3 linked regions of the Xenopus tropicalis genome follow. The protein of the gene in region 3 purifies or fractionates together with the protein of the main gene of each other region. This does not show direct contact. Links are inferred from orthologs where the notes say so. Each region holds a gene or a part of one and is shown on either strand. Other genes may lie near its edges. The genes, in order: prkaa2, prkaa1 and prkag2.

Region 1 (3,658 bases), on a different chromosome or scaffold from region 3:
GGGACATTTACTGCAGAAAAAAAACAAACTAAACCTTACTGGATACACCTGCTCCAAGTATACTTTTTAGAATAAAACAGGTATAACGTCAGACTGATTCCTTACCATGTTGTTTACCTATCTATATATGTCAATACAAATTAGGGATGCACGGAATCCAGTTTTTAGGGTTCGGCCGAACCTCCGAATCCACCGCAAGGGATTCAGCCGAATACGGAACCGAATCCGAATTAGCATATACTAATTAGGACTTGGAAGGGCTAAATGAAGCTGCGCACTTCCACTTCCGTGTTACCATGACAAAAAGTCATGTGATTTTTAGGATTCGGATTTGGTTTGGCCAGGACCGTGGATTCGGTGCATCCTTAATAAAATCATCATTTTTTGTTCAGCAACAAACTGAGTTGACAGTACAGTGGAATTTCTCTCTTCTATCATAAAAGTTCATTTTCTCTTTGATGTGTTAAATAGCAATAGTGAGACATATAAAGTGCAGAATGCTCTATTTGAACAATAAATAATGGCATTTTGATTGGTGATCCTACATTCCTGCAAAAAAAATATAAAATATATACAGATAACATATCAGTGACAAAACAATGCACATAACATTTCATCTCTTGGCACAAGGAAGCTTTGTCTATAGAATTGTAACCTGGTGAACTCTTACCATCCCCTACAGCCATTTGTTGCTGTACTATTGGAGAGATGTAGGTTGGCCGTGCTGGGTCTGAGAGAAAAAACCCTCTTGTGCTCTAATTGCTACATAAATTCACATTACATTAAAGCTTAGACATGGAGGGTGTATATATATATAATTCCGTAAGGAAGAGCAGAAAAGCAAACAATGACCCTTGCTGATCAGTGAAACACTTTCAATTGTAAGCAACTACCCTACTTGCATTGTTGAACCAACCTCCACTTCCTGGCCAAGAACCTCCTGGAATTGCAGAGCAGCACCCATTGCACACCCTGCAACTGCAGTATCATTGCACATTCCCTATATTATTCTTTTTCAGAATAACCATATCAAAACAAGACAAAAGTGGCAATCGCTCGAAGCAGAACATAAAAAGTGATACAGTGAGTTATACATCAAAAGCAGCCTTTGTAACCTTTTACTGAATGGATGCTTAGTACATAAACATTACTTAATGAAATTAAGTTTACTTCAAATAGCTTCTTTCGTTTCTTAAACCTCTGTTATTTGCAGAATACAAATACTATTCAGTAAATTAAAAAAAGGCAATTTCATCTGTGTCAAATGAGAGTAATATTCTTATAAAAATAAAAGCTGCTTTTCATAACTCTACTACCATAATATCAAAATAAATATGTCATTTTCATTAATAAGTTAGCACACTAATAGTAACTAAAGAAGCTGTTTAGTATTATCAGTCTGCATCGTTCTATGTCACTTCCAATTCTGCAGTATAATTCAAATGATAAGGTACATTAAACAGCAGCTCTTTTAGGGTTTGTGGTGTCTAGGTGCTTAAAAGCTTGCACTGTACACAATGCCCAAGGCAAAAAAAATAGCATCAATTAAATATTCACAGTGCTCTCTAACAAAATGTGCAAATTCTCACTGCTTGTTAACGAGCCAGCGTTGTAATCAGACTGGCACACATTTCAAAGAAATCCATGGTATGGCTCCCCAAGCGAGGGTTAACTAAACTAAAACTGCCTGAGAAAGAGCCAAACAGAGGTCCACTTGGCGCTGAATAGTCTGATGTGCTCGAGTCAATACTCAGGCGTGGTCTGTGCAGGCCAGCTGCAGAGCAAGAACGTTGAGGGGTTGAAGAACCTGATTTTTGTTCCATGACTTCATCTGGAATACAAAGTTGCAACATGATTACAACGGTTTGCTCTGTATATTACATTGGAAGGTTTTAAAACCAGTTGTCAGGACCAACAAAGGGTGTAATTTTGTGAGATTAGCCCTACTTGTGGCCTAATGTAGTAAGTGGCGGGTTTTATATATATAACACACTGTGTTGTCCTTGGTTCTAACTGCTTCAGTGAGTGTGTTTTCTCACCTGTTCCAGTCCTGAATAATGGTTTGTTCCTGGCCACAAACCCTAACCTTGGCCTGTCCTTGACATTTTATCTGTCTCCCTTTTGTTGGAATCTTGCTTCTTGTTTTATTTTCCTCTGTCAGTCCCTGCCTTGTCAGTCAATGTGCCCTTCCTTGCTGTCACCCTCTGACTGTCCCTGTCTATCACCTTGTTTCCCTGTCTGAGGCTTCTTTTTGGCTGTCTCCCTCCTATGCTTCTGATCCTGCTCCAGCCTGTCTTTAGTTTATGCTCTTAGATTAAAATAATCACTTAAAATGTATGCTACCGGAATTGCTTAAAAAAGTTGTGGGTAAAAGGTTTATCAACATAAAAACTGAATAGCAAGTTTTCCTTTATTATACACAAATGGTGCACATGTGCCTGCATAATATAGTTTCAAGAGCAAAAATAAAAGCATTATGGTACCTATGCAGCACCCTTTCCTTGGCTGCTAAATCTGTTGCGCAACAACATATTTACTTTACTCATGTATAAAGATACAAGACTCCAGTAGTACTCTGGTTGCTCCTGAACTACAAATCCCAGGAACCACTGAAGGCTGAAAGTTGTCAGGGGCTGGTTGGAGTTACAGTTAAGTAACAGCAGGAGAGCTAAAGGCTGTCACAGTCCTAATAAGAATCACTAGGCCTTTATAAAAGGGATTTCTGTCTTACCGTCAATACTTTTGAAGTCCAAAAGGTAACTGCGATTATCAACCTGGTAGAGCTGCAGACTCATTTTCACATAAGTACCAGTCACTGGATTCTTTCTTCTCACACGGAGATGATAAGGGTTAACTACCTAAGGTACCAAGGATTTGGTTAGACTCGCAGCTTTGTTTAAAGGAAAACTATACCACCTAAATGAATACTTAACCAACAAATAATTTATATCATATTAAGTGGCCTAATAAAGACTCTTATCAAATTGGAATATATATCAGTAAATATTTCACTTTTACATCTGTTATCTCATTGCCATCTTTTCCCTCAGAGATCACCTGACGGTAAATACCGTATATACTCGAGTATGAGCCGAGTTTTTCAGCACCAAAAATGTGCTGAAAAACTAACCCTCGGCTTATACTCGAGTATATGGATTCGAAGATGGAACGAGCTTGTTGTGTGCACCCCCCCCCCCCGAGGATGGACGCTTGCACGCGGGGGGGGGGGGGGGGGATTGCGCACAACAAGCTCGTTCCATCTTCGAATCCATATACCACTTCTGCGACAGTGTTCTACAATCTGCTGCTCAGCTCCTGCCTCAGGACACAATGCACTAGGTATTAGGTATTTGACTTAACTCTTCCTACAGACAGTTAGACAGCATTCCTGTGTTAAGCTGAGCTTCCCTGATCTGGTTGTCTACCTGCCATATACTGTACATCCAGATGGTTGGGCAATATGCTCAAAATTAGTCTTGGTCCAATCAAATATAAGCACCTATGGCCAGCTTAACTGAAGCACTCTGGCTTTATACGTGGCTGGAACTTTGTCATTAGGCATTAGTTTACCTGCATTAGGTTACCTGTGTAGCACAATGGGCCATATTTACCATTTTTTCCTCCCTTGGCCCTTCACAGTGCAGATATGATGATCCAT
Region 2 (2,874 bases), on a different chromosome or scaffold from region 3:
AATTTTAAAAGTCAATGTGGCCCCTGACCCTAAGTTTGCCCACCCCTGGTCTAGCTCCACTGGTAGGCCAGTCTGATCCGACCACTTTCTATGCAATGGGACAATTATCCCAATTTGTAATATAGATTACATTCCAAGCGCTATGTCATTTGTAAATCAGCCATGGGAGAGCATCGAGGGCTTGGACCTCTAGCTTTGAGGTTGCAAAGGAAGCTAAACAGCTTAGGAACAATAAACAGCCAATGGATTGTTCTAACGTCCCCATATATTAGTGAAAGTTACATGTAAATAATAGCTAGCCATAAAGTACATACATGAGTCCTTATCCTTAAAAAAAAAAAAAAAAAAATCCTTTTTTTATTATATATTTGTACAAATTGCCTTTTGATATCCACATTTACTGCCCTTATTCACCAGACTGATCTATCCCAGTGGAGTTTAAGCTGCAGAATTATGGCCGGCATGCTTAAACCACTAAATTATCATGTGATCACTTCTATGTATTTCACAAGACAAGAAAAAAAATAACAAATTTAAGACAAGATGTTGAGGTTTATCTTGGGAATATGCAAAGTAGCCCAGTGCTCGATAAAATGTGCAATTAAAACTTTTGTCAACCTGAAAAATATATACAATTTATATGCGTTGACAAGGAACTATTAAAAATAATGATCACACTACGGATTGAGGTCTAACATAGTCTTGGAATCGTATGTGCAAATTGCATTGTGACAAGAGCTTTCAGCTGTTGGTCGGTCATAACTGGATTGAGACTGGAAGCATTTGGCTACAGATCACTGCATGCTTATTGCTCGATATGGATTCGCTTATGTTGCCGGAGGCCTATCGTGCAAGGATTTTTATTAAATTTGCACACATTTCAAAAAATTCTATGGTATGGCTTCCTGGCCTGGGGACTAGGTCGGCATTGGAAGAGTCCACTGATGAGGTTAAAGATGAAGGCCCTGAGCCGTCTGAAGACTTCGCTTGAATTTCAGGATCCGAGTCATTTTTTGGAGGTCGATAATTGCTAATGGAGCCTGATCGCCTAGGGGTGGCGCTTTCCGACTTGGCCTCAGTTACTTCATCTGAAAAGAACAATAGGCTTAATTATTTCCAGCAATTTATGGTGTAAAATGTATGTTGTTACTAGAATTATCTGTTATTTATAGAGTGCAGGATATATAGTGACAATTAATCTGTATATTTTTAGAGTGGGAGGAGACCATGAACTGGCCCCTACAGGATTTTCACACCTGCCACATATCAGGCTGATTTTTGGTCATATACTGGTCAGGTATGCCTGTTGGAGAGTCCTATACATGCGCAGATAAGATGCCAACCTGGCCTGAAGTGGTCGAATCAGCAGCTTCAATCTGCCCATGTATGTTCACCTTCAGACTCCCATTATCATAATGTGGTGAGCAGAATGCTACAATAGTAGTCCATGTCCCTCTGCTCCTAAATGTCTCCCTGCTTCCAGCTTTGTTAAATAGTAATAAAAGCAAAAAAATTTAATTGTGCCTTTCTTTTAGCACTTTCACCTTAACCCGATTGTTTCAGCTGGGGGAGCAGATTTGCGCTATAGGATAATGAGAAGGTAGCTGTCCACCTATAATGGAGATGCTACTGCTTCTATTCAGAGCTGGTAAGTTTTCTGTGATTGCTGAAGGCCACTTAATATATAAATTGCAATTTGCTCAATGTAAGGTTGAAGGGAGTTGCTGCTAGCAGCAGACAGGCCACACAATAGTATACTAGGAACTACTGTTGGAGGCTGTTATACACAGCAGAAAATGGCCGAATAAAAGTTCTGGAATGAGATCTAACAGCTGATATTGGGACACAGTAAAGCAGGCCACACACTGAATGATCTGGGGCTGATCTGCTAGTTTAACGTCGGGGATACAGGCCATTGGGGCAAGGACACCCATCAATGACCAGATACGGTCATCGCCCCAACAAGATTTTTTTAAACCCGTCTGATGAATATGTGCCCAATTTTTGCTGGATAAGCAAGACAGAGTGCCTCATACATGGGCAGATAAGGTGCCACTAGGAATGAAGGATCTGAATAGGAAGCCAAAATCTGCGCTGTGTGTGGCCATCTTAATTACAGCTTGGAGGAAAGTTGCAGCTCCACTAAACACTGTGAGCAGGAGCATTCTGACACAGTTTGATAGGGCTGGGAGCAGAGAGACAATGGCAGGACTCGGGCTGCTGCAGCAAAGTTCTGATTGTCACTCACAGTTATGACCATATCCTGGGAAGGAAGGAAAGGGCAAGCCCAGGTCTCACTTCATCTCTAATATTATAGCATTTTTAAGAAAAACAGTTTAAAACCATGTTTCTGGGGCACTAATCATTTAAAATAAGGTAAAATATAATACTAGGACATGAGGCTCCTTTAACACTGACGTGAACAAACATTACTGTTAGTGAGGTAATACATAAGCTACTGCATGAAGTACAATTTCAGAGGTAGAGTGCCATTCTGGGTTTAGACAAAGGCCCTTAAGTAATTAATATAAACAACTGACGGAAATGATGGGAACCCAGAGTTTTATTGCTGCGACTGCCTCTGTGACAGGCTGGTAGAAGGTAATAAAAACCATAAAAGGCATCAGCAGCCAAACATTTGGCATTACTATTCCGAAAGTAGCACAGAAATGTCACATACCGTCAATGCTGCGGAAATCCAGCAGGTAAGTTCTGCTATCCACTTGGTACAGCTGGAGGCTCATCTTAGTGTACATGCTAGTAACGGGATTCTTCCTTCTTACGCGCAGGTAGTATGGATTTACAACCTCAATATGGGAAAAATAATAAGGGAAATTAGTCTCTTGCACATGGATCAAATGTAGTCCCTTGCAC
Region 3 (3,658 bases):
GCACGTAACTGGATATGAGAGGCAGCCGGCTCTGGTGACAGGAGGAAAGTCAGAATATAAATATACAGTAATACATACCAGGGAGAGGCCGACTTTCCAGCTACCCAACTGAATCCTGGATGGTATGTCCCTAACTATAACTGGATACTTGTAATATAGGTAATATGGAGCAAACACGGGCGGCTGCACTTACTTGTAACGTAGTGTCGAATACAACGAGTTTGGAGCTGGTTGGGACAATGTCGTAACACTTGTGGGATTTCATGAAGCGCGTATATATGTCACTTTCTGATTCTTCAACAGCTGCGAAAGACAAAGCATCATGGGTATTAGCATTTAGTCACTCTAGAAGCAAACCTTGGCTAATATATGTTTTCACCCAGGAAATTAAATCTATTTTATGAGCAAGCTTTCTCTTCTACTTTCAGCCTTGACACACAAGAGCATAAAGGCGGCTGCCATATTGCCTACCTTAATATACAACATTCTCAATGTTCTTTAAAACAAATAAATGCAAAGCTGACATCAGGTGGGCAAGCAATATGGCAGCTCCTGCTCTGACATTAATATGAGAGGGGTTGCACTGTGTACATACAATGTAAAAATATGAATTCATATTTAATACCTGTAGTCATCCATAATGTTACACTCACACTCCAAATACACACAGGCAGGTTAATTGGCTCCTGATAAAATTGCCCCTCAAGTGTGTGTGAATATGATAGGGACCTTAGATTGTAAGCTCACTGGGGCAGGGACTGATGGGAATGTGATAGGGACCTTAGATTGTAAGCTCACTGGGGCAGGGGCTGATGGGAATGTGATAGGGACCTTAGATTGTAAGCTCACTGGGGCAGGGGCTGATGGGAATGTGATAGGGACCTTAGATTGTAAGCTCACTGGGGCAGGCACTGATGGGAATGTGATAGGGACCTTAGATTGTAAGCTCACTGGGGCAGGCACTGATGGGAATGTGATAGGGACCTTAGATTGTAAGCTCCACTGGGGCAGGCACTGATTGGAATGTGATAGGGACCTTAGATTGTAAGCTCACTGGGGCAGGGACTGATGGGAATGTGATAGGGACCTTAGATTGTAAGCTCACTGGGGCAGGGACTGATGGGAATGTGATAGGGACCTTAGATTGTAAGCTCCACTGGGGCAGGCACTGATTGGAATGTGATAGGGACCTTAGATTGTAAGCTCACTGGGGCAGGGACTGATGGGAATGTGATAGGGACCTTAGATTGTAAGCTCCACTGGGGCAGGGACTGATGGGAATGTGATAGGGACCTTAGATTGTAAGCTCACTGGGGCAGGGACTGATGGGAATGTGATAGGGACCTTAGATTGTAAGCTCCACTGGGGCAGGGACTGATGGGAATGTGATAGGGACCTTAGATTGTAAGCTCCACTGGGGCAGGGACTGATGGGAATGTGATAGGGCCCTTAGATTGTAAGCTCCACTGGGGCAGGGACTGATGGGAATGTGATAGGGACTTTAGATTGTAAGCTCCACTGGGGCAGGGACTGATGGGAATGTGATAGGGACCTTAGATTGTAAGCTCCACTGGGGCAGGGGCTGATGGAACATGTTGGTGCTATATAAATAAAGGATAGTGCTGCCGAATGACCCTCTCCTCTACCCTGTAGCTTCCCCCCTGCCCTTCCCATAATGCTGTGCTCAGGAATGGAACACTCCGTACTGTCTCTGCATGAATACAGCACAGGGCTAGCTGCTGATACGGGGAGTTAGAGAGTCAGAAAGCCCAAGGATCCATTTGCACATGCTGATCCGTACAGGATGCACAAACCCTCATTAGCCATAAAGCCACTTTATACTGATTATCCTTAGACATTAAAAGTCACCAGCCTTGGCCCAGGGACAATAAGAACTGAGCCCTGTCAGTCCTGTGTCATCTGAACAACCCCCTCTGCTACACCGACTGCAAGAGAAGGGGGGAAAATGTCTAAAAAGTGCTATATCCCCGCCATAATTTCAGGCGTACCCAAAGATGCACCCAATGCAACCTGCACACAATAGTCCAATATAGTCACAACCTGGCACCTGTGCAAAAGATGCAACACGTTCATTTCCCCGTCCCCCCCCCCCTTTGTGTTTGAATGGCATTACTTCCGACAATGCCTTAGGGACCTTAGATTGTAAGCTCCACTGGGGCAGGGGCTGATGGGAATGTGATAGGGACCTTAGATTGTAAGCTCACTGGGGCAGGGACTGATGGGAATGTGATAGGGGCCTTAGATTGTAAGCTCCACTGGGGCAGGGACTGATGGGAATGTGATAGGGACCTTAGATTGTAAGCTCCACTGGGGCAGGGACTGATGGGAATGTGATAGGGACCTTAGATTGTAAGCTCACTGGGGCAGGGACTGATGGGAATGTGATAGGGACCTTAGATTGTAAGCTCCACTGGGGCAGGGGCTGATGGGAATGTGATAGGGACCTTAGATTGTAAGCTCACTGGGGCAGGGACTGATGGGAATGGGATAGGGACCTTAGATTGTAAGCTCCACTGGGGCAGGGACTGATGGGAATGTGATAGGGACCTTAGATTGTAAGCTCCACTGGGGCAGGGACTGATGGGAATGTGATAGGGGCCTTAGATTGTAAGCTCACTGGGGCAGGGACTGATGGGAATGTGATAGGGACCTTAGATTGTAAGCTCCACTGGGGCAGGGGCTGATGGGAATGTGATAGGGACCTTAGATTGTAAGCTCCACTGGGGCAGGGACTGATGGGAATGGGATAGGGGCCTTAGATTGTAAGCTCCACTGGGGCAGGGACTGATGGGAATGTGATAGGGACCTTAGATTGTAAGCTCACTGGGGCAGGGACTGATGGGAATGTGATTTTTAAAAAAGAGGAGGATTCAGCCATTGCAGTTTAATCCCCTGCAGCAGAGGGTTTCAGACAGAGGAAATGATCAGATAATACGGGCCTCCATGTATTTGGATGATGGGGCCATTTCTGTACAGCTGCAACAAACCATCCAAGAAGAAGTTGGCAATGGCAATAGCCATCGCTGACCAACTGTCCCCACTGGTGATCAGTATACAAGCTAACTACCCACATCCACAAATTGTCTGGGTCAGGGAGCGCGGCCAGTGCGGCCAGTGCATTTCTGGGTTGGCCGGTGACCCAATACATTGAACAAGGCTGTTGCTGCCAAGAGTTCTGCACATTAGCAGAGGTTGGCCAGATGGAAACAATCTATTTAATTTCCCTTTTTGGTTCTTAGTAGCCCCGTAAGTAAGCCCTTAAGCCTCTGGATAGCATTCATATGTCTTAATTTTTCTTTAACCCTATGAAGCCATTATTTGAAGAACATGGGTCCAAAGCGCCCAGACCGTTACTGCGCCCAACACGGAGCACCCATATGGGGCTGAGAGTGTGTGGCTGTATCCCCGGGCTGGTTATTAATGAGCAGATGAAGCAGAGGAATGGGAATGCAGTGTACCGAGAGGCAAGCTGTGCCGCTATCACCGCGCCGAGACAGATTCCGCCATCTGTTAAGTAAAAGTCTCTCAGTGACACCCATTTCATTTCTGCTCCAAATATTCCGACAGATTTTCTTCTCTGATGCAAATCCCAGCAGCCCCTGAGACTGTTCCGACTGGCTAAGGATGCTGGGAATTA

What was found.
Region 1: the proteins of prkag2 (region 3) and prkaa2 purify together in Homo sapiens (affinity purification with mass spectrometry; 5 studies listed by BioGRID and IntAct, counting the BioPlex papers as one, with this or other methods). This does not show direct contact. The link is inferred for Xenopus tropicalis from reciprocal best matches to the Homo sapiens genes PRKAG2 and PRKAA2.
Region 2: the proteins of prkag2 (region 3) and prkaa1 purify together in Homo sapiens (affinity purification with mass spectrometry; 8 studies listed by BioGRID and IntAct, counting the BioPlex papers as one, with this or other methods). This does not show direct contact. The link is inferred for Xenopus tropicalis from reciprocal best matches to the Homo sapiens genes PRKAG2 and PRKAA1.

The regions. Positions count from the first base shown.
Region 1 is NC_030680.2:87,563,203-87,566,860, forward strand, and holds part of prkaa2 (5'-AMP-activated protein kinase catalytic subunit alpha-2), read right to left. Parts: intron 2,859-3,658; coding exon 2,732-2,858; intron 1,832-2,731; coding exon 1,596-1,831; 3' UTR 1-1,595. UniProt on the Homo sapiens protein: Catalytic subunit of AMP-activated protein kinase (AMPK), an energy sensor protein kinase that plays a key role in regulating cellular energy metabolism.
Region 2 is NC_030677.2:195,923,935-195,926,808, reverse strand, and holds the end of prkaa1 (5'-AMP-activated protein kinase catalytic subunit alpha-1), read right to left. Parts: intron 2,808-2,874; coding exon 2,681-2,807; intron 1,089-2,680; coding exon 844-1,088; 3' UTR 533-843; downstream 1-532. UniProt on the Homo sapiens protein: Catalytic subunit of AMP-activated protein kinase (AMPK), an energy sensor protein kinase that plays a key role in regulating cellular energy metabolism.
Region 3 is NC_030682.2:14,472,347-14,476,004, forward strand, and holds part of prkag2 (5'-AMP-activated protein kinase subunit gamma-2), read right to left. Parts: intron 304-3,658; coding exon 194-303; intron 1-193. UniProt on the Homo sapiens protein: AMP/ATP-binding subunit of AMP-activated protein kinase (AMPK), an energy sensor protein kinase that plays a key role in regulating cellular energy metabolism.